Arabidopsis thaliana: one gene and its partners. The protein of the gene in region 1 interacts with the protein of each later gene in a biochemical or structural test. Each region holds a gene or a part of one and is shown in the gene's direction. Other genes may lie near its edges.

What was found.
Region 2: the proteins of MYC4 (region 1) and JAZ4 form a complex in vitro, tested with the Arabidopsis thaliana proteins (one study listed by BioGRID).
Region 3: the proteins of MYC4 (region 1) and JAZ6 form a complex in vitro, tested with the Arabidopsis thaliana proteins (one study listed by BioGRID).
Region 4: the proteins of MYC4 (region 1) and JAZ10 form a complex in vitro, tested with the Arabidopsis thaliana proteins (one study listed by BioGRID).

The regions. Positions count from the first base shown.
Region 1 is NC_003075.7:9,931,495-9,939,350, reverse strand, and holds MYC4 (Basic helix-loop-helix (bHLH) DNA-binding family protein), read left to right. Parts: upstream 1-3,665; 5' UTR 3,666-3,879; coding exon 3,880-5,649; 3' UTR 5,650-6,025; downstream 6,026-7,856. Other genes in the region: AGD8 (ARF-GAP domain 8), read right to left, coding at 205-312, 384-485, 567-692, 775-1,050, 1,141-1,573, 1,897-2,015, 2,153-2,230. UniProt on the Arabidopsis thaliana protein: Transcription factor involved in jasmonic acid (JA) gene regulation. With MYC2 and MYC3, controls additively subsets of JA-dependent responses. Can form complexes with all known glucosinolate-related MYBs to regulate glucosinolate biosynthesis.
Region 2 is NC_003070.9:17,928,576-17,937,030, forward strand, and holds JAZ4 (jasmonate-zim-domain protein 4), read left to right. Parts: upstream 1-2,814; 5' UTR 2,815-3,082; coding exon 3,083-3,158; intron 3,159-4,024; exon of another isoform or gene 4,025-4,404; coding exon 4,405-4,577; intron 4,578-4,698; coding exon 4,699-4,862; intron 4,863-4,956; coding exon 4,957-5,041; intron 5,042-5,243; coding exon 5,244-5,511; intron 5,512-5,612; coding exon 5,613-5,673; coding exon of another isoform or gene 5,674-5,680; exon of another isoform or gene 5,681-5,752; coding exon 5,753-5,858; 3' UTR 5,859-6,087; downstream 6,088-8,455. Other genes in the region: AT1G48490 (Protein kinase superfamily protein), read right to left, coding at 1-22; AT1G48510 (Surfeit locus 1 cytochrome c oxidase biogenesis protein), read left to right, coding at 6,314-6,458, 6,544-6,635, 6,722-6,951, 7,194-7,386, 7,477-7,763, 7,860-8,076. UniProt on the Arabidopsis thaliana protein: Repressor of jasmonate responses. Interacts with and suppresses RHD6 and RSL1 transcription factor activities to negatively regulate jasmonate-stimulated root hair development.
Region 3 is NC_003070.9:27,272,517-27,280,191, reverse strand, and holds JAZ6 (jasmonate-zim-domain protein 6), read left to right. Parts: upstream 1-3,629; 5' UTR 3,630-4,055; coding exon 4,056-4,209; intron 4,210-4,524; coding exon 4,525-4,648; intron 4,649-4,800; coding exon 4,801-5,127; coding exon of another isoform or gene 5,128-5,131; exon of another isoform or gene 5,132-5,651; coding exon 5,652-5,856; 3' UTR 5,857-6,224; downstream 6,225-7,675. Other genes in the region: AT1G72460 (Leucine-rich repeat protein kinase family protein), read right to left, coding at 1-682; EDA25 (CCAAT-binding factor), read left to right, coding at 6,596-7,313, 7,403-7,475, 7,571-7,675. UniProt on the Arabidopsis thaliana protein: Repressor of jasmonate responses.
Region 4 is NC_003076.8:4,215,527-4,222,746, forward strand, and holds JAZ10 (jasmonate-zim-domain protein 10), read left to right. Parts: upstream 1-3,301; 5' UTR 3,302-3,474; coding exon 3,475-3,586; intron 3,587-3,663; coding exon 3,664-4,158; coding exon of another isoform or gene 4,159-4,163; exon of another isoform or gene 4,164-4,408; coding exon 4,409-4,470; coding exon of another isoform or gene 4,471-4,513; 3' UTR 4,514-4,936; coding exon of another isoform or gene 4,937-4,976; 3' UTR 4,977-5,387; downstream 5,388-7,220. Other genes in the region: AT5G13210 (Uncharacterized conserved protein UCP015417, vWA), read left to right, coding at 1-1,062; AT5G13230 (Tetratricopeptide repeat (TPR)-like superfamily protein), read left to right, coding at 6,988-7,220. UniProt on the Arabidopsis thaliana protein: Repressor of jasmonate (JA) responses. Interacts with and suppresses RHD6 and RSL1 transcription factor activities to negatively regulate jasmonate-stimulated root hair development.

The DNA.
Region 1 (7,856 bases):
AAGTCTATAACATATCGAGTATAATAGTATCAATATAGATTTTGATGATAACAACAATAGCCACGTCTCAATAGTTTTCAAAAAAAAGTTCTATAAAATAAAAACAGAGAAACGTGAACCTCATTGGAAGTTTTCCGACAAAGCTTCTTTCTTACTTTTTTTTCTCTGTCAATATCAAAAACATGTGAGAGACTCGTGGTCTTCTTACAGCATTCTGTCTTGAATATCACTGAAGATACCAGAAGCCAAAGTTCCAAGCTTCTTCTTTGTTTCTCCTGCTATGTTCACCAGCGACGATAGATCTTGTTGCGCCTGATCAAAAATTCGTCAAAAGGTTAAAAATGTGAAGAAGAACCAGAGATTCAGGTGTATGGATCTTTTACCTGGAAAGAAAGTCGGTTAATGAGATCACTAGCTGTTATATCAATATTGGAATCATCTTGGTCGTGACCGTAAAAATCAGCGCTTGAGATAGATGCTGAGCCCTGTAATTTCCAACAATGGCATTAGAATCGGAAGATGTTGTTATATGTTCCTTTGAGATTGTGGTGAATGTTGTTACTTACTGCAAACTTCTGAAGAGTAGCTTTTGATTCCAGATCAGCGTTTTTGTTCTGATCCCCAAAGTACTGAGCTGAAGATATGGACTTTGCGTTTGTGAACTTCTTTCTTGCTTCATCTGATTCTTCAACCTAGTAAGAGAAAAAGAAATGGTTTAGAAGAGGTTTGGAATTTCGATTTATTAATTTTGTTACTGAGAAATTATGTGTTTACTTGAGATTTTGAAGAGTTGGAGCTTGATTTCTTGGGAAAAGAACTGTCCATTCCAAAATCCGAAAAGAAGCTTGACGACTTTGGTGGAGCAACATGGTTAAGCACTTGTGTACCACCAACGCTTTGTCCTCCAGATTGCAGGTCGTCATTGTACTCAAACCGAGAGGCAAATGATGAACCAGCTGATGATTTGCTTTCCCCGTTATTTGTTGATGATACAGCGGGAATAACCGGTGCAACTTCTTCCGGTTTCTGCTCATAGAGATTGTCTTTTGGCTACATTTCACCAAAAACAAAATCCAATCTTTTAATCTGAACAAGAGAACAAAAACGTAAATGCTCCAAAAAAATACCCCTAAGACTTACCTTAGTAGTAAGCTTCCTTGCACCAAGACCACCAGTTTTTCCTGTCCTTTTAGCACCAATAGGTTTCTTAAACGTACTAGGCACAACTGTATTAGAAGCTTTAGGCGAAGAAGTAGCACTGGTAGCTTCATGTTTCGAAAGAGGTAACTCTTCCTTGACAGAATAAGAAGAAACCCCATTAGATACTTCCGGTAACTGAGAAGTAGCAACGGGAGATGACAGAAGACCAGAATTAGTTTCTTCCGCAATCGCTTTCGCAACTTCTTTAGCAAGAATCTGCCGATACAAATCAGCAGCTCTTGAAGTATACTTAGCTTCAATTTTGCCACCATCAGTCCATCCATGTTGCTTGAAGAAAACCTGAGCACGGTTGTTACCACCAAACATCATTGTCCTGAGCTGCTCCGGGCTCCAAGAGTCTAAATTCGTTGATCTATACAAAAACGGAAAAGGTAGCATCTTGAGAACGTAATGTGGCATTATTCAATATTATCTAGTCAATGAATCGATAATTTGAATGAGTCTAATTTCAAGACACTGGTGAAATTTTGAAGTCAACAATTCTGAAACCTTAAAACATAATCTGATGATTCAACCACACTAAAGTCAACGTAATGCTACACATTAGCCAACAATTCTGAACACCTGAGCACGGTTTAAGCTAATTCCCTTATAAAGGCCTCAAAAGCTTAAACCTTAGCCAAAATCTGAGCTAGAGTAATGCCGAAGAATTGGATCAGATGATGAATTGTTTACCTGACGAAGCTGATATGAACACCAAGATTCCGGTGAGTAGCTGAACAATCGATGCAGAGGAAAATCCCATATGTAACCGATGCCCAAGTTGGATTCTTCGCACTACAATCGAAGCAGACCTAAATTGGCAAATCAAAACCAAAATTAGCATAAATGAATCAAAGATCTAGTCAAACAACTCTCAGATCTAAACATACACAATATCAAATTGACGATACTCAAAGAAAGAGAAGAATTCAGAAAAAAATTTGATTACCTTGTTCTCAGATTTTGATTTGAGTTTTCTGAAAACAATGTTTTTGTCGGTAAGATTGTCAGCAGAAGAAGAAGCCATTGTAGATCAAATTGTTCAATTTGATCACCTCCTTGAAGAAATTTGAAAGATTTTTTAATTTGAAATCTTTCTTCTTCAAAATCTGTAAATCTAAAGGAAACAGTACTAACGTTTGATGGAAACATTTGATCTGACTAGACTGACGAAAACACCCTGAATAAACTCTAGAAATTACGAAAATGGCATTACGTAGAAACGACACGTAGTGTGTAAATTCCGTTTCTGAAGCAACATGGATGATATAAAACGGACGAAAGCTTATCATTTTCACCTTTTCTTAAACCTCAATTCAAAGATTACTTCCTAATTTGTCTAATCGTGTGTTATACATTTTTCGTATTAATATTATGTTTATCATATGGTTTAATACGTACAGGATTTGTTTTTAATATCTGAAGTTAACATGTATTAGTAAATTAAAATACGACTTTTTATAACTCCAGGTTTTCAAACTAACTAACGGTTTTCATTTTTGCCTTCTTTCCATAATATGTCTCACACATATTATATGCTAAAAGTTTCGCTATACTTGTTGTTGACCATACACTAAAAAATGTCAAATGTGAAATATTTGCGGGCTAGTTTTATTAACTACCCAAAATGTGTGAGGCCCAATATAAAGTAAAGCCCAGCTTAATTTGTTTTGTTTGCTTTTATGCGATTCCGAAATGTCACTGTACAGTAGACACTATAGTTTCGTCGGATATGAACATAGAGAGACCAACATTTTTGGGCATTTGCTCTCACTGAAAAAGAAAGCATATTATGAAATCTGGCCACTAAAAACACGAGACCCACACGACATAATGTGATTATTTTTGTGTGGTCGTATAATTTTCGTAATTAAATCTAATTCTGTTTTAATACTATACCTTTTATTTTCCTTTATGCTCTTGCGTCTCTTTCACCTTTGATATCAAAATCACCCATGTCTTTTTTTTGTTCTTTATCATTGCAAAAAGTTGTGTCCAATAACGAAGCCAACAAAAATATGTTTATAAGAAAATGTTAAACTACAAGTCTACAATATTTGCTTTATAGGTTTTGTATATAAATGTTGTATCCAAATCTTTGGTGTTAACACTCCCTTAATCCCTTTAAATCATATTTTCCTGCCTCAAAGAACAACTGCAATTCTACAAACTCATTGTTTAAATTAATTGATGCTACTTGCTTACAAGAATTAAATGATGGGATTAATCACAAGAAAAGCAGATATTGACACCAATACCAAAAGTGAGGGAGACAAGATCATTATTGTAAGTGAAATATCATTTTCATTCTTTAATTGTTCTTAATTATCAACTTTGATGTAAAAGGCTCCTTGACAAATTTGATCCGATTCTCTTACATAGATTAGTAATTTTCTTGTAAAACAATTACTATTCAGAAAAAAATTGTTTTCAATCAAGTTATGTATATAACCCAACTTCAGAAATAACTCAATCAATAATTCATATTTGGTGAAAATAAAAGTACTATTTCTTTTTCTTTAGAGTTAAAAAAAAAAAATGAATATAAACAGATTCCTTTTCCCGAAACAATCAAACCAAACACAAATATTTTGCTTAAAGAACTTACTTCTCTCCTCTGTCTCTCACCGGAAAAACAAAAAGTCTTCTCTTTTATAACTACGTCAGAGAACTGTTATGTCTCCGACGAATGTTCAAGTAACCGATTACCATCTCAACCAATCAAAAACGGATACAACAAATCTCTGGTCAACCGACGACGATGCATCGGTAATGGAAGCTTTCATCGGCGGCGGCTCCGATCATTCTTCTCTTTTTCCTCCACTTCCTCCTCCTCCTCTTCCTCAAGTCAACGAAGATAATCTCCAGCAACGTCTCCAAGCTTTAATCGAAGGAGCAAACGAGAACTGGACTTACGCCGTGTTCTGGCAATCATCTCACGGTTTCGCCGGAGAAGACAACAACAACAACAACACAGTGTTGTTAGGTTGGGGAGATGGTTATTACAAAGGAGAAGAAGAGAAGTCTAGAAAGAAGAAATCAAATCCAGCTAGTGCAGCTGAACAAGAGCATCGTAAGAGAGTGATTAGAGAGCTCAACTCTTTAATCTCCGGTGGTGTAGGAGGAGGAGATGAAGCTGGAGATGAAGAAGTTACAGATACTGAATGGTTCTTCTTAGTTTCAATGACACAGAGCTTTGTCAAGGGTACTGGTTTACCTGGTCAAGCTTTCTCAAATTCAGACACGATTTGGTTATCTGGTTCTAATGCTTTAGCTGGATCAAGTTGTGAGAGAGCTCGTCAAGGTCAGATTTATGGGTTACAAACAATGGTGTGTGTAGCGACAGAGAATGGTGTCGTTGAGCTTGGTTCGTCGGAGATTATTCATCAAAGTTCAGATCTTGTTGATAAAGTTGACACCTTTTTCAATTTTAACAATGGTGGTGGTGAATTTGGTTCTTGGGCGTTTAATTTGAATCCAGATCAAGGAGAGAATGATCCAGGTTTGTGGATTAGTGAACCTAATGGTGTTGACTCTGGTCTTGTAGCTGCTCCGGTGATGAATAATGGTGGAAATGACTCAACTTCTAATTCTGATTCTCAACCAATTTCTAAGCTTTGTAATGGAAGCTCTGTTGAAAACCCTAACCCTAAAGTTCTGAAATCTTGTGAAATGGTGAATTTCAAGAATGGGATTGAGAATGGTCAAGAAGAAGATAGTAGTAATAAGAAGAGATCACCGGTTTCGAATAATGAAGAAGGGATGCTTTCTTTTACCTCTGTTCTTCCATGTGACTCGAATCACTCTGATCTTGAAGCTTCAGTGGCTAAAGAAGCTGAGAGTAACAGAGTTGTGGTTGAACCGGAGAAGAAACCGAGGAAACGAGGGAGAAAACCGGCGAATGGAAGAGAAGAGCCTTTGAATCATGTAGAGGCAGAGAGACAGAGAAGAGAGAAGTTGAATCAGAGATTCTATTCTTTAAGAGCTGTGGTTCCTAATGTGTCTAAGATGGATAAAGCTTCTCTATTAGGAGATGCTATTTCGTATATCAGTGAGCTTAAGTCTAAGTTGCAAAAGGCTGAATCTGATAAAGAAGAGTTGCAGAAGCAGATTGATGTGATGAATAAAGAAGCGGGAAATGCGAAAAGTTCGGTAAAAGATCGAAAATGTTTGAATCAAGAATCGAGTGTGTTGATAGAGATGGAGGTTGATGTGAAGATTATTGGTTGGGATGCAATGATAAGGATTCAATGTAGTAAGAGGAATCATCCTGGTGCTAAGTTCATGGAAGCACTTAAGGAGTTGGATTTGGAAGTGAATCATGCGAGTTTATCGGTAGTGAATGATCTTATGATCCAACAAGCGACTGTGAAAATGGGGAATCAGTTTTTCACGCAAGATCAACTCAAGGTTGCTCTAACGGAGAAAGTTGGAGAATGTCCATGAATTGAAGTCAGCATCTTTAGGGCTAATACACCGGAGAATACTGCGAAAAGTCGAAAACAACGATCATAGTATAAGCCGCGGTAAAAAGTGTTAAACCTTTCACACAAGTTTCTCTAGTGAATGTAGTTGTAAACTCTATTGTGTAAGGGTAATTTTGTAGTACCCACTTGTTGCTATTGAATGCTTGTTAGAGAGGATTCTTAGTGTAGTATATGATTAGGTTGGGGTTTGTTGTTTCATGAGATAAATAAATGTGTTTGATCAATGGTTAAGTCTTTGGTTTGTTGGTGTATGTATGTAAATAAGGCTTTTGTTAGAAATAAGACAAATGGGACTGAAGTTGGAGTTTTTTGTTGTCTTTTGAGTTAAAGTTTGAGTATTTCACTTTCAAGTGAGTTTTTTGTGTTCATCATTTGGGACTAGTCATTGGGAAGTTGGCATCAAAAGAGGCATCTAATTTGTTAGGAACGAATATACCTACTTTTTTTTGTTTTCAATAGGGATAATTTAAATCAATCACAGCTATTTAGAGATTCCAATGTAGGACCTCAAAATTTATGTGGATGTTACATGATCATTATCGTTCTAAATAGTATTTTGAACCATAGATTACTTCAGAGTAATTAAGTTTGTCGCATAAATCATGATGCACAACATGCAAATGCTAAATGGATTTCTTGATATTGACAGAAGAAGTGAAACCACTAGAATAATACCCTTTAAAAAAATAAAAAAAAATCAATATATGTCATAAAGGTCCAAAATGGTGAAATCAAAATGAAACATGGGGATATAAACATAAGATGTCTTAAAAGGGTTGTGGGGGAGGGAAAGCGAGGTTATGAATCTTTGAAGAAAAAGTTAAAATCATACAAAAAAATCGTGGAGACATGTGTGGTCGATTATTAAAGAGATTTTTCTGCAACATATATTATTGTGTTTGTTTCCAAACATTTTAGCAATAATCTCCTCGAAAATGTGAGTGACAGTGCGAAGAGAACGTGTGAGTGATAAGAAGAAAGCATGCGCTTTTAAAATTATAGGGCACATTATCGCCAAATAAAAACAAAGAACGAAAGGAGACATTTATCATCTGTACATGTAATATTAACTATACTTTGTTTGATGATCGTTTTCTCATTCTGGATAACTTTAGATTAATTGTACGTAAAAGATGTACTAAATAGACTAATTCAGATTACAATTAGTTACCAAATGTACATTAAATAATGGCAATTTGATTACAATAGAGATTACAATTGGACTAGATTAAAACACTGTTTAGTGGCAGATTATTGACATAGTTATCATGCCGTAATAGTACGCATACATTCTAATGGAGTATTATAAAGATTTCAAGACGATCGAATATCCACCCCTTTGGTTTGCTAAATTTTCTTACCAATAGTATAATGTTGTTGCATGGTTGTCTGTGTCAAGAGTACTTTATTTGATGCTCCAAAGTGTGTGCGGATTTGGAATTTTTTAAACTGATCCATCACCCTTCATTTTGTATATATATATTTTAAAAGAATATAATATCAACAATTTGTTACAGATTTTACTTTTTAAAGGATAAAATCCATCGTCTCTGTTTGTTTTGAGATTTCTTTATTAAAGAAGTCCGTTTTTTTCTTAAGTTTGTTACGAAAAAGGAAAAATTAAATTTTGGATTTTCTTAAAACCTAAAACCCAAAAAGCCCAACAAAAGCTGGAAGTTTGAAACCATTCGAGCCTAGTAGCTATATGTAATATATTCATGTGTAATGAAGTAGCATGTGTCATGTGACATGGGCTGCCGAAAAGAAATTAGCTTATAACAAGGCTAGTCATTATTTAAAACGATATGATTCATTACATCTATCGTTTAAGAGAAATCAGATATATATATATATATACAAAGGCTTGATTCTTGAATGGACAAATTCAGTTTTAGCACGAGAGTTAGCGGAATAGCGTCAATCAACAAACTTAATGAATAGTTAGCAAATTCACAACAAAACATTTCCTGATGAGAGAGTACAAAATATTTCATTGCACGAACTTATTCTCGCAGATACGTCAATAGGACTGAGATGGAACAGGAGAAGTCTTTTGTTGCTTCTTAGAGGATTGTTGCTCCTTAGAGGATTGTTGCCTTGTCATACATAACATACATACTACGCAGTAGTACTTTATAAAAAAAAAACATACTACGCAGTACGCAT
Region 2 (8,455 bases), on another chromosome or scaffold:
AGAGTTTGCTCTTGAACACCATATTTGACTTCTCTCGAGAGATTTCCAAACCTCAAACCTTACCACAACAAACACGTTACGGCAAAATTCCAAAACGCCATATCCAATTCAAAAGCAAAATCTCTTCTCGCTATGTCTCTTACCTTCAATCTCCGTTACGATTTCAAAAACTTAAGAAAATTCAAAACCAAGCTTTCGATGAATGGACGAAGAAGACGACGGACGTAACTGTTAAGTGGGACACTAATCTTTTATTAAAGCCTAAAACGAAGAAGATTAGGGAAACAAATAGTCAAACCTGTTAAAGACGAAACTTGACTATGATTAAACGTTAATGACTTTCAAACTGAAGATTAAGTACTAAGGACTGCATTTTCTTATTTTATATGCATAAATGAGTAAAGTAGATAAGACTATGAATGAAGAAAACAAAAAAGATAAGACTATGAATATAATTTCTTGAAGATTTTATCATAAATGAATTTATTGTGACTTGAAGAGTTTTAAATTTTTGGAGAAAAATAGAAAGAAATTACATAGTTTTGAATTTTTTGATATTATATAGAAGCTTTCGCCTTTCGCGCGTAATTTTAAATATTTAAATTAATAAATCTAACTAATTTTAATTATCGTTGTGATTTTATATGTTCATACTAAATCGTGTAATAATTTATTATGTATGTACAAAAGTTATAGTTTTGAATTTTTGATTAATAAAAGATATTTCGGTCGTATTTTTGTTTATAATTGAGTTAATCAATCCAACTAATTTTTAATTTTTCATTATCGTTGCAGTCAAATAACATTTTTTTTTCTTTCGAAAATTTAGCTTTAATTAATATTAGAAACTTTTGGGCATATTATTATTTATATATGAATAAAGAAATCTAACAAATTTTCAACACTGCTGGAATTTGATATATTTGCACCCACTAAAGTAATAATTGTTAGATACAAATTTGAATAGTTATAGTTATATTTAATGTTAGAAGATAATATCTATATAAATTATTTGATATGGACCTAATAGATAATTTTTGTAATTATTTACTTCTAATTAAACTAATTCAGATTTTTCGAATAACAAGTATTTTTATTTATTTCTTACTAAATTAATTCAGATTTTTATAATAAAAATATGTTAAAACTTTTTCTTTTTGAATTTAATGTTAAATTATATTAAAAAGAAAAATAAACTTGTTACATATGAAATGCTAATTGTTTTGAGAGTTTTTTTAAAGAAAAGGAACTTCTAATTGTCTATTATCTATTGCCTTGATTCAAAGTTTTAAACCAAACTTGGATGCCATCTTTGAACTTCAATCCTCCACTACCTTGAATTGTGCTCAAACGGTTTCTAAGATTCTTGTCTATAATCTTCACAAGTATTTCCGTCGGTGATGATTGCTCCCCATGCCTGATGCCTCCTCCTATTTTGTTCATTCCAAATTGAGTGTATAGAGTTCTGTCTGTAGTGCATACCTAAGTATGTAGCTCTTCGTTTTGTATAGAAGGTTTTTAGATAAAGTTTTCATAACCTCTGTCCAACTCGCCGAATATCTGTCCGAGAGAATTCCCCTTGTTAAGTCTTCCCATATCTTTTTTGAGTAGGCGCAGTGGAAAAATAAGTGTTCCTTCGTCTCTCTACCTGTTCATTGCAAAAAATGCAACTCGAATCTACATTACATACCACTTTCTCATTGTCTCTCTACTCAAATTCTGTTTTTCACAACCAACCAAGTAAAAAGGGATACTTTGGAGTAACGTATGGGAACCATATCTCATTGTGTCCCTCTATCGACAACTTTGCTAAAACTTGTGTTCAACGTTCTCTTTTTGTTATGTTTTTTCTTTTTAAAATCTGGAACCTATATAAAATCAGCTTATTAGAATATATTTATAAACTTTAATTTTTAATTTTAAAAATATTATATGGTAATGACTTATATAATCTCAAGAAGAATTGTTTTTTCCATAATTCGTATGGAGCCTTATATTTTTTTGGTCTGGCTCTGGTTCTATGTGGCAAGTTTTGCAGCTTGCTCATAAATTCATAATGCCAAGGGTAAGCTCCATACACTCGAACTTGGTATGAACATGGGAGCTCAGCAGTGTACATGTACTTGTAATTTAACCTCATGACTATTAACTCTTACAGTTCCGAAAATAACCTCTTTCTTAGGAACTCTTAGGGTTTATCCAAAAACAAAAATACTTTGATATATTAACAAACGAAATCTAACAACAGTAAAAGAGGAAGTTCTCCGTATGGGAGAACCAATACGAAGCATAAATGCTAGATTTTAACAAATGAAATCTAGCCTTTTTAACAAGGACATGAGCATACCAAAAAAAACTTTAAACGAGAAAAACCATCAATCTCTATAAAAAAGAAGGCCATTCATCCGGGATGGCTACGATCTATAGGTTAATTCTTATCTAAAAAAAACATTAATCAAAGATAAATCAATAATGAGGCACTGCATGACCCAAAGCAAGAATTCAAACTTTGTATGAAGAGGGATCGAGACGACGGTGAAAGCTCTTCTCAACCACATTATTACCATGTTTTGTTGTGTAGAATGAATGAGTCAATGACTCAATGCACTACAAATAATTGCTCTCTTTTAACTTGAGAATAAGGGTTCTTATTATAATGCTTATCAGCTTTAAATATAAAAATAAATAATGTAAAACATTATTTTAAGTTTGATATTAACGACATATTTATATATTTATATATTTATATCCAAGTTGTTCAAAATAAAAATAAATATATATATTTATATCCGATGATTGAATTTCTAATATTGGAAGTTTATTCCGGAACAGGAAAGCAGACGTGGGATATACACATACCGCATCGGATGATTTATATTAAAAAAATATATGTATACATCATTAGAGGAATCATAAATCGGCGGTGTGTGTAACTTCAACTCACGTTTTTCATTTCTCTCCAAAGTCCTTCAATTGTTACTAATTCTCTCTGATCTCTCATTTCTTCTCTTCTCCGGTGACATTTTTTTTCTCCCCCGCGAAAGCTAAACCGTTTTTGTATTCTCAACGATTGATAAGCCTGATGGAGAGAGATTTTCTCGGGCTGGGATCAAAGTTATCTCCGATAACTGTGAAGGAGGAAACTAACGAAGATTCAGGTAATTCATCTTCAACATCTTCCATTATGATCTGATGATTGTGTTTTTCATCTCACTTTTTTTTGTTTCTATTTTTGTAATCTCTTTTTTTGTTTATTGTTCAAGTACATATATATTGTTTTTCTAGCTTGATTGGGAGTCCTACTGTCTGGTTTTTTCTTGAACAAGAAATTTTTTCTTCGTTTTCTCGGGAAGAGAAAAAATAAATTAGGGTTTCTTTTTTCTTGATATATATTTAAGAAATTAGGTTTTAGTACTATAGACAGAAATTTAGCTACTCGAATTTGTTTGACGTAGCCGATGAAAAAACACGTTTTGGGACTCGATAGTTAGAAAATTCATACGTTCACGATCTACTTTTGAAGTTTTTTTCATTAAATATTTTTTGCAAACTACAAATGTACAAGTATACAACTATACAAGCAAACACCAAACTTGTTGACGTTAGTAATTTAACAAGTGTTAGTATTATCTTTGAAAAATAATATTCAGAGAACAAACTTGATTTTCTAGGTGACTAGGTGATGCATGTTTCTAAAGCTGTTGGTAATGTTGAGTGTTTTCAAAATAATTTCGTTTTTTTCTTCAAACAGCCGACACCGACAGAACAAAAATGCTATATTTTTTTTGTTGCTTACAAAATTGATCAATTGGTTTCAATACAATAGTATCTTCTTTAGAAAAGATTGTTTTTTTCAAAGCCGGATTGAATATTGAGAATTAGAACATTGGCTGGTTATTCTTTTTGAAAAGTTTATGCCATTTTTTAAGGTTTATTAAGCAACTTGAATTCTATCAGTATTATTTAAAAACGAAGACGTGAAATGTTGGGAAAAGAATGCGTTATATAGCGACCGGCTGACGATTAGAGATTTAACAACAAATGCAAGTTGAATTATATAAAAGCAAGATTGATTGTGACTTGATTAAGTTTTATTTCTATCCAAGTAGACTCATTGATTAAGTTAGGATCATGTTGGGTATTAAATTTAGATCAAGTTACAATTTGGATGAATAATTTACTTACCCACGAGGAATTTAATAGTTAGTTCTTGTCTTTTTATATTCCGAAACGTGCCATTTCTTGAAAGTATTTGTATGATCACTATTTTCCCCAGTGTGTTTGGCTTTATGCAGATTTGTTCATTGTTGATGAATCTAATGTTAAGAGTCGTCCACTTTAGCATAGCTAGATCTGAGTGTTTCCTAGTTTGATAAAATCTAAAGACATTTGCTCATGTTTCAGCCCCAAGTAGAGGTATGATGGATTGGTCATTCTCAAGCAAAGTCGGTTCTGGTCCTCAGTTTCTTTCTTTTGGGACATCCCAACAAGAAACGCGTGTAAACACAGTCAATGATCATTTGCTTTCTTCTGCTGCAATGGATCAAAACCAGAGAACTTACTTCAGCTCACTACAGGTTAGGCTATTTCTTGAAAAGAAAAAAAGTAGTGATAAAGTGTGATTTAGTGACCTTGTAAGAAAGCTTGGCAATTGGTTTAGTTTCTTCTGGTCTCAAAATTGATACAAAATGATCTCAGGAAGACAGAGTGTTCCCAGGTTCCAGTCAGCAAGACCAAACAACCATCACAGTCTCCATGTCCGAACCAAACTACATCAACAGTTTCATAAACCACCAACATTTAGGAGGATCTCCTATCATGGCACCTCCAGTTTCAGTATTTCCTGCTCCAACCACTATTAGGCATGCACTGCATTCTATCTTCTTCTGTTTAACATCAGATACAGAACCTCTTTACTTCTATAGTTGACTCGAGCTCCTTTATGTTCATCTCCAGATCTTCTTCAAAACCACTTCCCCCTCAGTTGACAATCTTTTATGCCGGTTCAGTATTAGTTTACCAAGACATAGCTCCTGAAAAGGTAACCAAATTTCCTTCAATATGTGTTACATTACAGTCCAAGCTATCCACTGACTAAGTATTCAATCAAAGAAATAAGTTTCACGTATAGACATGCTGAAGTTATAGAAAGTTACTAACCTGGTTTCAACATACAGTATGTTAATGATTCATAGATATGATAAATCTTTGTCCTTACTTCTTCATTTATTTTGTATTCATAGGCCCAAGCTATCATGTTGCTAGCCGGAAATGGACCTCATGCTAAACCGGTTTCACAACCTAAACCTCAAAAACTGGTTCATCACTCTCTTCCAACCACTGATCCTCCAACTATGCCTCCTAGTTTCCTGCCTTCCATCTCTTACATTGTCTCTGAAACCAGAAGTAGTGGATCCAACGGGGTTACTGGACTTGGACCAACAAAAACAAAGGCGAGTTTAGCATCCACGCGCAACAACCAAACTGCTGCCTTCTCTATGGCTCCAACAGGTTATAAATGAAGTCTTAACTCCTATTAATGTTTTGTCATCAAACTTCTATCTTAGGTTTAGTTTGTTATAACCAAAAAATCTTGCTATGATTTAATACAGTGGGTTTACCACAAACACGCAAAGCATCCTTGGCTCGGTTCTTAGAGAAACGCAAAGAAAGGTACTGAGCTACAAGATTATTCACTTATTCACAATATCAAAACACAGGTTTGCTGTATATTGGCTTCGTTTTCTTGCAGGGTCATTAACGTATCACCTTATTACGTAGACAACAAGTCATCAATAGACTGTAGAACACTGATGTCTGAATGTGTAAGCTGTCCTCCAGCTCATCATCTGCACTAAAACCAATTTAGACCCCTCATTGTTCTAAAGGCTTTTTCTTTTTTCTCTGGCTCTGTATCCTATAGACTATAGTATAGTTGTTATAGCTTTTGTTTATTCAGATTTTAGTACACTGGGCTTGTAAAAGCAAGTTATTTATATATATCCTATAAATTTAATTTGGATACTGTATGTTTTGTCTTTACTCTTGCATGTGTATAAAAAACATAAAAGTAAGACTATTCAAGCTCTTCTAGATTTTGTTGAAGTCAACTTTATGTTTATACTTTTTTTTCGATAATTGATATAAAATATTTCCACCAGCAGATGAAAGTCATTTAATTAGTTGGTGCCATGTGCTATATCAGAAAATAAAACATTAGTTTATATACTTAATCAGTCCTCGTCGTCGTCGCCATATATAGTAGATCAAGAATCTTGGATGAGACAAAGAGAAGATCCTGGAGGAGAAAAAGATGACAAAACTCGTTTCCAAGATATTTAAGAGGTTGATTTCTCAAAGTCAGTACATGTCTTCTTCTACTACTAGCAATCTCCCTGCTGCTTCACAAACTTCCAATCTTGAGAGCCAATTGCTTTCTTCAGCTCCACCACCCGCAAGTATCTTGCACATGCTCTCTCTCGTCTAATTTGTGATTAAGTTCTGAATCTTGGTTCTGAATCTTTGTGTAAAAATGTTTTGCAGAGAAGAAAAGAGGGTCAGCGTTGTTATGGTACTTAGTTGGATTCACTACTTATGGTCTCGGTGAGACGTATAAGTTCCTACAAACACAAGTGGTCTGTGATTTTCATTATATACATTTTAATTATACGTGTTGTTCTTTGATCTGCTAAAGAATTTGTTCAAACTCTTTTGTTTCAAGTACAAGGAACATCTTGATTCTAGAAAACAATGCTTGGAAATGAAACCAATGAAGCTGAATACAACGAAAGATTTGGATGGGTTAGGATTTCGACGGGTGGTATGCAAAGGCATTTTCGATGAGCAAAGATCGATCTATGTGGGTCCAAAGCCTAGATCCATGTCTAAAAGTTCTGAAATTGGCTTTTATGTCATTACACCTCTTTTGCCAATCCCTAATGAACCTAATAGGTCAGGGATTTACTCTCTATATGCGCAAACCAAACTAAAGTCTTTTTGATCTCCATATATACCATCTTGATGCAAATATCTTTTTTCTTGTATATTTAAGTGTTTGGATGCAACATCTAGACTAGATGCAAATACTTGCAAATTTTGTGTCTCTTACAAATAAGGTTGCATACAAATGCACCAAAACAAACAAACAAACAAACATGGTCTAACTATCTTTTTCTTCTTCCTTTTGTCACTAGTATGAAGTCCCCTATTCTAGTAAATCGCGGATGGGTTCCTTCGGATTGGAAAGAAAATTCTCTAGAATCTCTAGGTACTGGTGGTCTTGTTGCTGCTGCAAAAGAGTCAAGAAAAGCTAATAAACTTCTCTCCTCTCAACAAAGTCTCTTGTCGAAGTTCTGGTACAAGTTGAACAACCCAATGATTGTTGAGGTTGGTCTTCATTTCATAAACTTAATGAGTACTCAATCATTCATTGCATGATTTGATATCATAGTTAAGTGTTATTGGAATATTTTTTAGCAGGACCAAGTCTCTAGGGCTATGCATGTGGAAGTGGTGGGTGTAGTTAGGAAAAGTGAAACTCCAGGCATATATACTCTAGTAAATTATCCAAGTTCGCTTGCGTGGTTCTACCTTGACGTTCCTAAACTAGCTCTAGCCATGGGGTTTGGTGAGGACACAATGTATATAGAGAGTACGTACACAGATATGGATGAAAGTAGAACTTATCCAGTTCCAAGAGACGTTGAGAACTTGACTCGTAGTAAGGATATACCACTGGACTATCACTTGTACACAGTTTTGTGGTAATTAACAAACATAACATCGAACTTATTGCACTAGTAACTGGTTGTTTTTGTTTGTTTGTTTATGGTAGTGTGCCTGATTGTTTCTATATGCAGGCACTGGAGTTCCCTGACTTGCTTTATTAAGGCGTCTTCGATTTTAATGCGAAGATTAACAAAATCTGATCCTATTGGTGTAGAGCCAATATTGATTCCAATTTCCATTCTCGTTTTTATATGTACCAAGATATACAGTCTTCGTAACTTATTTTGTAAAATAGACACTATTGGTGTTGGGTGTGTCACTAAACTCGACACAGGAAAAGTCAAATGACATGCCCAATGAAGTCCATAATGAAGGGTGAATAAGTTCGAAATCGCGGTTCGGATTGACTAAGATCGGTGGCCACCAGAAGATCGCAGAGAGGATATGGATTGTGAGCTTGATTATAAGCAAAGGAGAAGAGAGATAAATGGGATAATTTTATTACGAACCAGAACTTTTTGTATTCAATCAATTTTCCCGTATGTATTCATCTCTTAGAAACATCTCGCATCTTAAACATCATCATTTGTACTCTTCATTTGTATTATCAGTAAAACAATGGGAAAAATGTCATTTAATCCTCCAATTTTCAAAAAATGGTCATTTTATACATCAACTTCGTATGTGGCCGTTTAAAACATGAACTAAACGTTGACTAATTTTTAAA
Region 3 (7,675 bases), on another chromosome or scaffold:
ATGGAGTGGATAGCTTGGCACCGCAAAGGCCAGAATTCCCCGCAAAAGTCTTCGCGTCGAATTTCAACAAACCGGGAGGTATTTCTCCGGTTAGTTGGTTGTTTGATAGATCAACAATAGCTAAAGTCGTTTGTGTGAAATTAGGTATACTCCCGATGAATTGATTATTTTCGAGGCGTAACTCAATGAGATTTGGCAATGTAGTTGCCAATGAGATAGGAATGAGACCAGAGAAATGGTTGTTTGACAGCCAAGCTTTCTTTAGCGACACCATTGTTTCGAAATAATCAGAAGGAATGTTACCAGAGAATCGATTTCCTGATATGTAAAGCGACTTCAGAGCGGTTAATCTGTTAAACTCGGGTATGTCACCAGAGAAAGAGTTGTTCATTATGCTTATGGTGCGTAAAGATGGTAGGTCTTTTAACGGAGCGACATCAACTTTTCCTGATAGACCCATTTGTTCGATCTGGAGGCCAAAGACAGAGTTTTTGTTGCAGAGTAATCCGATCCATCGTTGGCTTGCTCCACAAGGTTCTGACTCTGGTGTCCAAGAATCAAGAGACTTGGTGTTGTTTAAGGACTTCTTGAATTTCAATAAAGATTCTGATTCGGTTATCGAATTCGCAGAAAGTGCTGTTAGAGATAGCACGATTGGCCAGATTAGCCAAGCCACGGCCATTTACTTAACCGGAGCTAGGCCGCCGGGAGTTTCAAGCAACTCTTTTTTTTTTTTGATTAATCAAAGTAGTTTTTTTTTTTTTTTTGGTGATTCGATTTACTAATTTTTCTGTATTCCTTGTCTTGTTTCTCGCTTTGTCTCTGTTTTCTCTGTCTTTTGTTTTTCTTTGTCATTTGTGATCCATTGGATGAGAGGAACTTAGGAGCTTATGGCGCGAATGTTCGTTGAAAGAGTCAAGAAGATTGAGAAAAGCAAGAGCGAATAAAAAATAAGCTAAAGATATGCATTTTTGGTTGGCCCATATGAATAATGTTGATTTTAGTTTCCAAGCCCAAACTTGGACAAAGTTGATTATCGTTTCTATAAATAATTTTTAAACCGTAGAAGTGACTTAATTACAAGTATAAGTGTTGTAAGAACAACTATCAAGTAAAAGTGTTGTAAAACCAACTATCAAAACTATATTTTTTACGTGTTACGTGTGAAAACTATTAAGTGATACTCCAAATTTTGCCATACTACAAGATAACGCATGTAAATAAATTTTATGGGAAAAACAAATGGTTTTGGCATTAGGACCAAGAGCATATAATCTTAAAACTCGTACAACATTTGGTTCAGTTCTAGCTAACGTGACCTTTTAAGTGGACCACTTCATCATTTGGATTTTCCTCCTGATGCTTAGTTATGTCGGATTTCTAATTTACTCACTATAGCATGACAAAAAATGTATCCCTATGCCGAAAAAAGAAAGAAATTTGATAAATGTAAAACAAATTGACGCCACCAAATGTAATCATCAATCAGTTTTAGCTTTTACAGTTCCTAACTATTTCCAAATATGAGAATATCGAAAGAATAGTTATAAGTTTCTTATGTATCATGAGTAAAATACTCTAATACTCAATTACTCATGATATTATATGCAACTAAACAAAATATTTGTCTAATCTATTAATTTTCTGTAGACCATGACATGTATTCTAATGATTTGACTTAGTGTCCTTGTTGTATTTCTATCCGGTTTCAATTATGCAATTGTTGAAAAAATGTTATTCCTGTTCCGCATGTAATGGATACTTATTAATATGCGATAATCTTTAGGCACATATGTTATTGTCATAGTACAAGAGGAGCATGTGAAGAAGCTGCAACATTTTGGTGTTCACATCCAAAGTATCTGTCGGTGTCAAAGAACCAATTTGTTTTAGTCATTGTTGTAAAACGGACCTACATTCGTAGTCGTTACCCCTAAATTTTAAACAAATTTTATGTTTAGTATTGTCATACGTCAATGCAAATGAGTTGTATAATCTTTCAATATTGTCTTCTAATTTTATTTTATTTTCTGATAAGTACCATTTTATTTATGAAGATAACGACTGTACAGAGAATTCCCACCACAAGCTCAAGCTGCAAGACCAAACTTACCCGAAGACAACCTGTTACAGAGACACGCTAGCTCGTAACACTAGATAGAAAGGAAATCTTACCCAGCTCAAAGATTAAGTCTGAAGCACACCTAACCCAAAACTGTTGACACCATCTTGATTATGTCCATATATGAACTTAGGTCTCAAAACAACAACTATTTATTTGATAAATGTTGATATACTCTATTGCTTAAAGGAGAGTCCAACTTCGAGTGGTGACCGGAAGGTTTCGCCGTTGCCTTTTCTTTTTTGCCGTTAACGTTGGTTTGGTAGTCTTAGTAGAATCTTCTCACAATCTTGATTTTTGCATATCAAATCTGTTAGAATATGACATTCCCTTATTTTGGACATGATCAAATATGTGATCGAAACCCAACTTGCGCTTCCAACAATGTAGATAATCTTCATGTGAAATAGCGAATATTATTTGGTCTTTTGTATGTATTAGAAAATGACAATGGATCTATATTGTGTAATTAAATACACACATACATGTGTATATATTAGACTCAAGTTGTTGTTCAACTCTTGAAATCATATGATATTGAAGAGTCTTCAAAGTTCAAAGTATTATGTTCTCATTTTGCAAGTTGCGATAAATAATTCAATAAAAATGATTTTTTCCCTTGGCGCGATCGTCTACGACATTTTGTTTTAAATTCTTTTTTGGTACTCTTTGGCATTGCCTCTTATTCAAATAAAATTCAACGCTCGACTTCATTGAACAAAACGATTAAAAGATTTTATTATTATTATTGTTATAGAAATAATATTTAACTGAGCAAGTAACAAAATTCATATTAGGACTAAACAGAAATCGTTAACCTTTTACCAACATACAAAACCACAAATTCTAATATTAATTACACTCAGTTTTTGTAATTAAAAACAGAAAAGAAAATTAGGCCTATGAAGTATGAACGCTATAATATCCTTTAGCAAAGAGGGAAAAAAAACGCAAATCATGCATGAAATAAGGTTGGTACCGCCAAGATTCCGACACGTGTTGACATCCTAAACGCACATAACAATACTTCACGTGTCCTTAAACTTTGTCGGGGATAAGTAATTGACACCATTCATCGATAAATATCCACTCACAAGTCGTACTGTTGCTAATGGATCCCACATATTAAATTCGTATTAGCCATCGCAGCCGACGCGAGACTTAACTCCGTCAGAACTCCGTTAGACTATAGCGTTTGCAAATGCCCTCATTTACGCCCTTTAATAACGAATATCCTAACCACCACTAAACGAATTACCTCAGAAGGGTAAATTAGTATTTAACAGAAACTCTTGGGACCCGAATGAATTAAATGGGTTAACGCCTTTATGTAATGTCGCCGTCAACTTACAACAGTTTCTTCACGGCTTGTGCAATGAAAACGTGCCGGAACTTGTAACGAACATTGTAGTTTGATTTTTGTAATCAACCATAGGAATAAATCATTTTTTCCGCATATAATTTATTTCCCTATTTCTATTCGTGACAAAACATTTGAGGATATAGGAAATTAATAGCCTATAATATGTTTGACCATAAAAAGAATTTCTTCTTCTTGAACCATCATAAGAAAAATGTGTGTTTAGTCTATTGATCAGTTTTGTGTTCAAAAAAAAAAAAAAAATGTCTATCGATCAGTTAGGTGTAAAAAAAAAAGTTACAAAACTCGTGACAAAAACATTCTATATTGGACACACATCACTGTCACTTCAGACTAAATAAAAAAAAAGAACACGTTATTTCGTTTTCTTTATTTATTCGGGAGAGGTTAAAAGCCACAGAAACTTATTGGCTAGAATTGGTTATTTATAACAACAACACATGAGCAAAAAGCTCAAAACATCTACATACTCTTTGGAATCCTCGATTTTTTGTACGTGTAAAGAAGTCACACAAGAAAATCTTGGGTTGTTGTAATCTTCATCACACTAGTATGTCAACGGGACAAGCGCCGGAGAAGTCCAATTTTTCTCAGAGATGTAGTCTGCTCAGCCGGTACTTGAAGGAGAAGGGAAGTTTTGGGAATATTAATATGGGGTTGGCTCGAAAATCCGATCTTGAACTCGCCGGAAAATTCGATCTCAAAGGTATTTATTTATTTTTCCCTATCTATTCCGACGGCCGCCGCCTATAAAGACCAAAGTTTATATCATATACTTTTAGTATCCTGCTTCGTTGATTATTAGCATAAAGTTTAACTATATATTTTTTTTGTTGAAATGCAAAATTTTAAATCATTTTTTTCTTTTCTTTTCTTTAAACTTAAGCATGGTATTATTTTGGACAGCTTAAGTATATTAAAGTTAGAGATTCTGTGAAGTTTTTTAAAAAACGTAATAAACATGTAATTTGATTTTGATAAATTTTAATCGGTTTGCAATTTCTGTTCTAATTTGTTTTAGGACAACAAAATGTGATTAAGAAGGTAGAGACCTCAGAAACTAGACCGTTCAAGTTGATTCAGAAGTTTTCTATTGGTGAGGCCTCTACTTCTACCGAAGACAAAGCCATATATATTGATCTCAGGTACTGTACACACAAACTTCATATGTATTCGAACTCCTAAAGTGTTTGTTTTCACATTTTGTAGCAATTGAATTAGAGAAAGAACTACCGGTTATAGATGTATGGACTATGGAGTTTGACTAATTGTAAAAATGGGTTTGATTTGATTTTAGTGAACCGGCAAAAGTAGCACCGGAGTCTGGAAATTCACAGTTGACCATATTCTTTGGAGGAAAAGTTATGGTTTTCAACGAGTTTCCTGAAGACAAAGCTAAGGAGATAATGGAAGTAGCTAAAGAAGCGAATCATGTTGCTGTTGATTCTAAGAACAGTCAGAGTCACATGAATCTTGACAAAAGCAACGTGGTGATTCCCGATCTTAACGAGCCAACGAGTTCCGGGAACAATGAAGATCAAGAAACTGGGCAGCAACATCAGGTTGTGGAACGCATTGCAAGAAGAGCTTCTCTTCATCGATTCTTTGCTAAACGAAAAGACAGGTAAACTAAACTCCGAAACTGTTTTGTGCTTGGTTATGCTTTTTCTAGGCCGCTCGTCAAAATGTATGCATAGATTAGGATCAAAGTTTCTTAAAAAAGTTATATGTAAAAATAGCTAATAATTACCATATTAAGACTTATTCGAGTTATTCTAGGAATCCCACATCGGATTAGAAGCGTATTACCAATCAAGTTTAAGTTGAACATTCATGAAATTGAACATAGGGTGGTCCTAGTATGTTTATGAATTATGATTCCTAGAGTAAGATTTCGAGATGTGACTCAAGTGTCATCATTTATAAAGAACATGTAAAAAATCTTACAAGTTACAATGAAATTCGAGATGGGACCTAGAGTAGTATATAAGAGATATGAGTCCATCATCTATGTGTCCTTGATCTAGGAAAATTATTAGTAAAATGTCGAGAAATTTCTAGTTAAAAAACACTAACTAAGAGTTCTTTGTAAATCAAAACTTCAATATCTACTTTGTCTTAAATGTTGATTAATTGTTTTGATTTCAGGGCTGTGGCTAGAGCTCCATATCAAGTGAACCAACACGGTAGTCATCTTCCTCCCAAGCCAGAGATGGTTGCTCCATCGATAAAGTCAGGCCAATCGTCGCAACACATTGCAACTCCTCCAAAACCAAAGGCCCATAACCATATGCCGATGGAGGTGGACAAGAAAGAAGGACAATCTTCCAAAAACCTTGAACTCAAGCTTTAGGGCGTATAAAATGCACGATCGAGTTCACGTTTCTAGTTTTCACTTATTTAGGATTTGAACCCAAATACCCTTTTATATTTTCTTCCATTACTTTTGACCAATTTAAGTTATTTATAGTACTGTATTACGTAGCTAGTATTTATATTTCAAAACATACATATTTTGATACTTGTTTTTTAGATTCTTTAATTAAAATTGTCATCTGGATTACCCTTTATCGAAATTTTTTAATCACCTGATATAATCTCACCAGTGATGGATTTGCGTTGTTAGTAATTTTTCTAAGTGGCAAAAGTATATTAACCTATAATAGGTTTCAAAGATATACATATAATGTTTCTATCAAAGATATTAGTATAATATTTTACCACATGATCGAAATCTCACCAGTTATGGATTTGCATTGAATGTTCTAGCGATTGGGCTGGACCGTCTCAGGAACCCAACCTTAATGAAAAAACATCGTCTCATTGATTTTAGGTCGTTAAGTCTGTTTTGCCCTTGTCTTATCCCGTAATTACGAAATTAGCCTTCTACCATTTCCTCTGTCTGCTTCTCTCTTGCCGTTTTCTAAAACCCTAAAAATTTCTGTTGAACCCCAAACATTGAAGTTTATCTTTCTTTTTCATTGTTCGATCTCAAAGCACAGAGATTGCTTAAACCTAACTGTCTCAGTTCTTTTAAAAACAGTCATCTCTCACAAAACTCTCTTAACCCTCTTCATATGCTTTGAGAAAAAATGTCAAAGATAAAGCCTTTGAGTAAATCATCGCAGGACTTGAGTCTTCTCACATCTGATATCGCATCATTCGCTTCTTCTATTGGCTTAGCTTCTGCTCTTCCTTCTTCGGGTTTCAACGACACTGATTTCCGAAAACCAGCTAAATCCAAAACCCAGAAACGGAAAAAGCCTAAGAAGGATCAGCAACACAAGGATGAAGATGAAGAAGGAGAGCCAAAATCGAACATTGGGAATGAAAAGGGAAAAGATTTTGGAGCGAGGAAGCAAAACAAAGATGCACCGGTGAAGCAAACGTTACAACCGAAGCCAAAGCCTGGATTCTTATCGATTGATGATGAGAGTACTGGGTACAAGAAAAAACGTTTCGATGAATTCAAGAGTTTGCCTAAGTTACCATTGGTGAAAGCGAGTTTATTGAGCTCTGAATGGTACAACGATGCAGCTGAGTTTGAGGAGAAGGTGTTTGGTGGCCGGAAAGTGGCGGTGGCGAATAAGGAGGATTTTAAGGGTGTGGTGGAGAAGAAGAGAGAATTAGGAGAGAGATTGATGTGGCAATACGCAGAGGACTTTGCAACTTCGAAAGGAAAAGGTGGAGATATGAAGATGGTGATTTCTGCTCAAAAGTCTGGGACAGTTGCTGATAAAATCACTGCCTTTGAGATTATGGTTGGAGAGAATCCCATTGCAAATATGAGATCTCTTGATGCCTTATTGGGTATGTTTCTGGTTTTGTTTTTCAATGGTGAAATCCTCTGTAGCATTTTGTTGATGTCTTGTTCACATTATCTACTCTGTTCATTGCAGGAATGGTGACCTCAAAGGTTGGAAAAAGATTTGCATTTAAGGGTCTTAAGGCTCTATCAGAAATTTTGATCAGGCACATTTTTCTTACTCACACAATGAGCTATGGATTTATGTGTCAGTCTTGCATCTTTTTCTCATTGACTGAGGTTTTTTAAATTCTTTCTTCAGGTTATTACCTGATCGCAAGCTGAAGTCACTTTTACAGCGACCTTTAAACATCATTCCGGAAAATAAGGATGGTTACTCGCTTTTGCTGTTTTGGTACTGGGAGGA
Region 4 (7,220 bases), on another chromosome or scaffold:
TTTACTCGAGAATCATTCCCTGAATACGAAGGCGTTGTAGAAGCTCACTATGCATACAGAGTTCGTGATCGGCTAAGGAAAGATGTTCTTGTTCCTCTGCGTAAAACTCTGCAACTGCCTGAAGTATATATGGGAGCGAGAAACTGGGATATTCTTCCGTACAACCGTGTAGCATCAGTGGCGATGAAGTCGTACAAGGAGATATTCTTGAAGCACGACGCAGAGAGGTTTCAGCAATATCTTGACGATGCAAAGGCGGGGAAAACCAAGGTAGCTGCTGGTGCTGTGTTGCCTCATGAGATAATCAGAGAGTTAGACGGTGGAGACGGTGGACAAGTAGCAGAGCTGCAATGGAAGAGAACGGTAGATGATATGAAAGAGAAAGGTTCTTTGAGGAATTGTATAGCTGTCTGTGACGTTTCAGGGTCTATGAATGGTGAACCAATGGAGGTTTGTGTGGCTTTGGGTCTGCTAGTCTCTGAGCTATCTGAAGAGCCATGGAAAGGAAAGCTAATAACTTTCAGCCAAAATCCGGAGTTGCATTTGGTGAAAGGAGACGATCTGTACTCAAAAACAGAGTTTGTTAAAAAAATGCAATGGGGTATGAACACTGATTTTCAGAAAGTGTTTGATTTGATTCTTGGAGTGGCCGTACAAGAGAAGCTGAAGCCGGAAGAGATGATCAAGAGGGTGTTTGTGTTCAGTGATATGGAGTTTGATCAAGCGGCGTCGTCGTCACATTATTCAAGACCAGGCTATGCATTTTTAAGGCAGCCTCCAAGTAATCCAAGTAATGGATGGGAAACGGATTATGAAGTGATTGTGAGGAAGTATAAACAGAATGGGTATGGAGACGTTGTGCCGGAGATAGTGTTTTGGAACTTGAGGGATTCGAGAGCAACGCCGGTGCCGGGAAACAAGAAAGGAGTGGCTTTGGTGAGTGGCTTTTCGAAGAATTTGATGAAAATGTTTTTGGAACATGATGGAGAGATTGATCCTGTGATGATGATGGAGACTGCTATTTCTAAAGATGAGTATAAGTCGCTTGTTGTTGTTGATTAAGAAGCTTTACTGTTTTTTTGAGTTTGGTTTTGTATTCCTGTTTCATGGTTGAAGCTTCCATTGCAATTTTATTTTAATAAATTTGGCCCATTGATTTTACTTTTTTTTTCTGAACCAAGTAATCGATACGAGACCACTAACCTGGCTTTTATTCATCAATCGATGCTCTCTCTACACGTAACCTGCTTCAAAACACTCATAGTTCGCCGGAAACAATCACTCGTATCATCGGATCTCGGCGTTTAGAATTCAGAATCCGACGACTTTGGCGAGCAAACCTTACGCAAACTATGGATGGTATTGGAAATGAACGACAACAAGAACAACCGTTTCATTTACAGATTTACTTCTTCAAATGGGCTTTTCTTCTCTAAATGGGTTTACTACCTTAAGGGGCTTTTCAACTATAGGTTCAATTATATTCTTATGTAAGGGTACTAACTAGTGTGGGCTGTAAACGACTTAAAGTTTCGGCCATTTAGTTTTATGCAAGAAAAAAAATATAGATAATACAGTAATGATGAATCCACTATACATGTTAAATCCAATATAATAAATCCACTATACATTAGTGTTCTCATATTTCGTTTCAAGATTCGATTCAAAAAATTTGAAAATGTTAAATATGTGTTTCTGAGATTAAAGGCCAAAAGAAGGGTAAGGTCGTATATGAAAGGTGGACAGAGGGGCAAATTAGTCAGCTTGAAAAATACATCGACATTAAAAATCGGCAGCACTGACAAAACGTGTGATAACACAAATAAAAATAATCGGAAGAAAAAGAATAAATAAGGCGTATTGACTCTGGAACGTGAGAAGATGAAAGAGAGCGACGAAAACCTCTAAAGACTTATCGAGAAGTGCACCTTAGCCTAGTGAATAATGATATGTATTGACATTAACTACTACTACTACAGCTCCCAACACGTGAAAGACATGCATCTAACTCTTTCACTTTCGGTTGCCAAGAAAAAAAAAAAAAAAAAACTTTCACTTTCGGCATCAAATATATACTACTAAAAAAGTTTTTTATACGTAATTCTTTTTTAATATTTGATTAGTTCAGAATATTAATTAAAAAAATTACTTTTCGTAATCACTACATTTTGTAGTTATATGATTTTTAATTTAAAATAGTAAAAAGGAGAAATGTAACTAATTAAGCTAACATGCGCGCGATAGAATAAGGTGAAGTTTAAATTTGAGCACAAGATAGAAAATTGAGGTCAATTTAATTCGGAAGTGGTTCAAGGTATATTTTCACAAGAAAGAAAAACGTGAGTTCATTGAATCCCTCTATAACTTTACTTGAGAACAATGTAATAATATGTAAATCTGTTAGGAAACGAGCAGCCACATATGCTTTAAACAAGAGAACAAGAAAAAGAGCGGCCACATGTGAAAAAAAAACACCAGCCAAAATGTGAAACTAAGAAAAGAAAAGAAAAACCATCGACATCGTCCAAAGGATCGACCCGTCTTTTCTGGTTTGGCAGAAAACAAACTTCCAAGTTCCGACTTGACCTAGTCTTTATGCATCTGCAGTGGTGTTTTCTTTAAATCTTTTTTTGAATGGATTTGAAAATCTTATTTTTTCTTCTTCTTTCAAAACACTAACTGTGAATCACCACCAACATTTTATTGTTCTAAAATCCCTATTTGTATGTTTTATTGGTTACTTTCCCAAATATGATGAAAGTTTATTGGTGTACTTTAGTTTAGAAATGTAAGAAATTTCAGTTGTATTATTAGGTCAACCAAATATTATTCTTGAATAGTAATGTCAAATTTTGTTTATATTGAAAAATCAATAAGACTGATATCTACTAAATGTGATTTGCTATACTAGTAGAGCTAGTAGTAGCAAGATTAAAATTCATATTAAGAAAAAATGGAAAAGAAAAACATGTTTCGAGAAAAATATACAGATCAGAGACTAGAGTAGAAAACAAATATAATGTCAGAAGAACCCAATGTGACGAACAGTAACAGAAACATGTTACCAAATTTTTGAAGATATATTTTTATAAAACATTACAATGTTCATTGGACTTCCGTTATTTCCGGATATAAAATATCTTCTTTCTGCGTAGCAAGCAATTACATTACATTAGGTATATTAAGAATTTAAACATGTGTTTTGAATCATTAAATTAATTAGATAAGTAAGAGAAGAGGTTGGGAGCCTAATAAAAACAAAACAAAAAGGAAAAAGTGGATAGGTTGCCAATTGTGCCGAAAAGAAAGAGAAAGCATGAACCTCGTGCGTTAAATAAGTATCAGAGACATACTACATTTTAAAAACTCTCACATGAGAAATCAGAATCCGTTATTATTCCTCCATTTATTCATCTCAAAACCCATATCTCTCTGTCTTGATCTCTCTCTCACTTTCTAATAAGATCAAAGAAGATGTCGAAAGCTACCATAGAACTCGATTTCCTCGGACTTGAGAAGAAACAAACCAACAACGCTCCTAAGCCTAAGTTCCAGAAATTTCTCGATCGCCGTCGTAGTTTCCGAGGTTCGTTTGGTTTTTAGTCGCTCTCTCTTTTTTTTTTCTTGCGATAAATCGAATTTATTCATATGGAACTCCTGCAGATATTCAAGGTGCGATTTCGAAAATCGATCCGGAGATTATCAAATCGCTGTTAGCTTCCACTGGAAACAATTCCGATTCATCGGCTAAATCTCGTTCGGTTCCGTCTACTCCGAGGGAAGATCAGCCTCAGATCCCGATTTCTCCGGTCCACGCGTCTCTCGCCAGGTATTTTTGTCTTTCCGGTAAAGTTTTTTTTTTCTTTCTAACTTTTTTGGCGCTACCAGAAAAGACGAAAAAATTTGAAATTCAAATTTTCAAAACATTCATTTTCCTCAGGTCTAGTACCGAACTCGTTTCGGGAACTGTTCCTATGACGATTTTCTACAATGGAAGTGTTTCAGTTTTCCAAGTGTCTCGTAACAAAGCTGGTGAAATTATGAAGGTCGCTAATGAAGCAGCATCTAAGAAAGACGAGTCGTCGATGGAGACAGATCTTTCGGTAATTCTTCCGACCACTCTAAGACCAAAGCTCTTTGGCCAGAATCTAGAAGGAGGTTAGTATAATAAAAATAAAAATCACTTAGTGCTGGATTCTTCTAGAATTTTAGTTACATATTATTGCATGTAGAGATCTAAGAAGAGTTTGTTGTTAGAGAGGAATTGGTTGCTAATTAGTTTGGAATTAGATATCAAAGAGTTAAAGACTATAGTTTATGTCTATACGTATTAATATACGTTATTAATAAAAGTATAAACATGTTGTTTAATTTCTGATAAGAAACTGGTTTATGCGTGTGTATGCAGATCTTCCCATCGCAAGGAGAAAGTCACTGCAACGTTTTCTCGAGAAGCGCAAGGAGAGGTAATGATTCTTCAACAATCCAAGGATTTTTACCCCCAAATAATTAAAGAAAGGTTTTTATTTTTCTCTCTCTCGACCTTTTTTTTACTATAAGTTATTTAAGATAGTAATTATGGGTCCTGCCTCTTTTACTCTCACATACAACTTAAGATTCAACTAGTTTTGTTCAACAACGCACATGCTTATACGTAGATAGATAATGGAGATCAGTAGTAATATCGGTATACGTAGGTTACTATTGTAATGGAACTTTTAAAAAGCGCGTTGACTTTGAGTCTTTGACTCTAGTTCTGTTTGCTACACCGACAAGTTATATTTTTCAAAATGATGAGAAAACGAGGAGAAACACCGGAAAAAAATTTGAACTTTTACTTTTATCAGACCATACGGCCAAAGAAAGATCTGTATATTATATAAGTTATCACAAAACGCGGTTTCACATTTTCTTTTTCGTCTTGTTGTGTTTGCAGATTAGTATCAACATCTCCTTACTATCCGACATCGGCCTAAACGATCTCTTTTTAGATTGGGACATGGACCAAATTTGTCTTTTTCAATCGGAAGACATCCATGTTCGTTTTTGGATTTGGCTTATTTCCAATCTTCTTTTGAAGCCTTCTTCGTCGTTGCTAAATCGTATACTATTCACGACAAACGTTTTTAGGAGATTACGTTACCTACTAAGATTATATATATTGGTTTGTTTTTAAAAATGTCTATTATCTTTATTGTCATTGATAGCTTGATTTAAGAAGCTCTCTCTTATCCCGTGACCTTCTACTTTTGTTTTATTTTTTAGTATATGGTAAAGAAAATTATAACACGCCTCTTTTAGCTTCTCATGAAGCTTCCGTATCAGAGTATTATTAAAGGAAATGTGGCCATTCATCTTTGATTATATTGGTTGGTCTCTAGCTTGGGTTGTCCTAATTGTTATAATGGAAAACAGTTTAAGAAACACGTGAGTATTAGTTATATAATACTATCAAGTCTACCCGACTAATTGTGTCTTTATGTCAAAAGTCTTTTAACATGAGTTTGGTGGAATTTGTACATTGGAATGAAGATGAAAAGAAGTGGTAAAGTGAACGTACTTTGTGTGGCTTCTTTTAGACAATTACCCCTTTCATTGAATAGTATCCATCACTAGTACTAACAAAAAAGGGATGGCTGGTCCGGATTTAAGAAACAAAAACCACACAACCATTCACTGCGTCTTCTTTATCATTGAAACCAAGATACTGTAGCTTATTGATATGAAATAAATACCACCATGTGCATACGTGAGAGTTTTTTTATTACATGTAGTTTCTTAAAAATGTTTTCGTGTCTCTTTAAGTTGTGTCAAGTAAATTGCTTCTCATTTAATCTACTGCGATGACATAAACTTAGTTTGCACATTGCAATGGCTAATGAGAGTACTAAACTTACATCATGTTGTTTAAGCTTTGAAGATGGAATACCGTATATCAAGTTTTAATTAGTAGCTCTGATTCAGATGTTTGGTTTAGATTCAGATTCAGATTAGTCAAGTGTTTGGCTTTGGTCAAGTTGACTGCATAAGCCAATCCTAATATCTTTGATTCATCACGAGTAATTCAAATTAATTATTTGATTCGATTTGGTCCAACACCAACAGTTTATCCTGTTCGTCTGGAAAAAATCTAATATATCAACCAGCTATTTACATAGCATTCGGCCAAATCATTCCAATAGAATGAAACATCCTATATCAATCAACAGATCGAGAAAATGAATGTCCAAAAACAAAACCTGTACTAACTGATTCACATCAGTTTGGAAACAAACTTAAGAAACAGGAATACTTAATTTGAGGAAAATCCTTGTAAATTTGATTATAAAAAAAATTACTTGCTAGATGGCAATACAATCTGCGGAACTGAGAGATTTCATAACCCAAAAAAAAAGGAAATTGCATAATTTAAAATTCACCATTATCAGTTTTGAGCAAACAAAACAGAAGTTAGAAAAGAGATTGACGAATCGGGACATCAGTTTTAAAAAGCTCGATTTATATAATCCGCATGAGTTATAGGAAAGCACCGTTGTAGTGCAAAATATTCATCATCTGCTCCGATTCGTTCAATCAATTTTTTCAGTTGAAATTAAGATTCAGAAAAACAAGAGGAAAACTAAACACCAACTTCAAAACAAATTCTAGCAATCCTAGCTTAGAAATTCAGATCTTAAACATGGAATAACAAATAACGAAGAGTATTGAGAAGGAGAGCTAACGAAACGAATCTGAGTCTGTTGGGTCATCACAGCTACAGCCCTCTTTTATAGGGTGAAGCCTTTAGACTCAGAGAAACCCTAGTTTTGAATTTGGTTATCGAATCTGGGCCACATGGGTCACACTATTACACATTATTGGGCCGGCCCATATCTCTTTAAATTTGGTTTATCCAGAATCATTCGATCTCAGTTGGGAAAAACCGGTTTTGAATAAACCGGATTGGACACTACTCCACTACTTGTCTCCACTCTGCTCGTAATCCGCATGATCGTGTTCATGAGAATAATTCATGTTGCGCAGACTCGCAGATTGATGATCCGATGCAATCGCATTCGACAATGTGGGTTTTCTGTGAAAACTGCGGCATTGGATTTAGAATCGTCGGATTCGATAATCCCAGGCTTAGACTCTCATGCTTACGGTGCAATGCTCCGTCGCTGCATTCAGAAGAACGACCCAATTTCAGCAAAGGCTATTCATTGCGACATCTTGAAGAA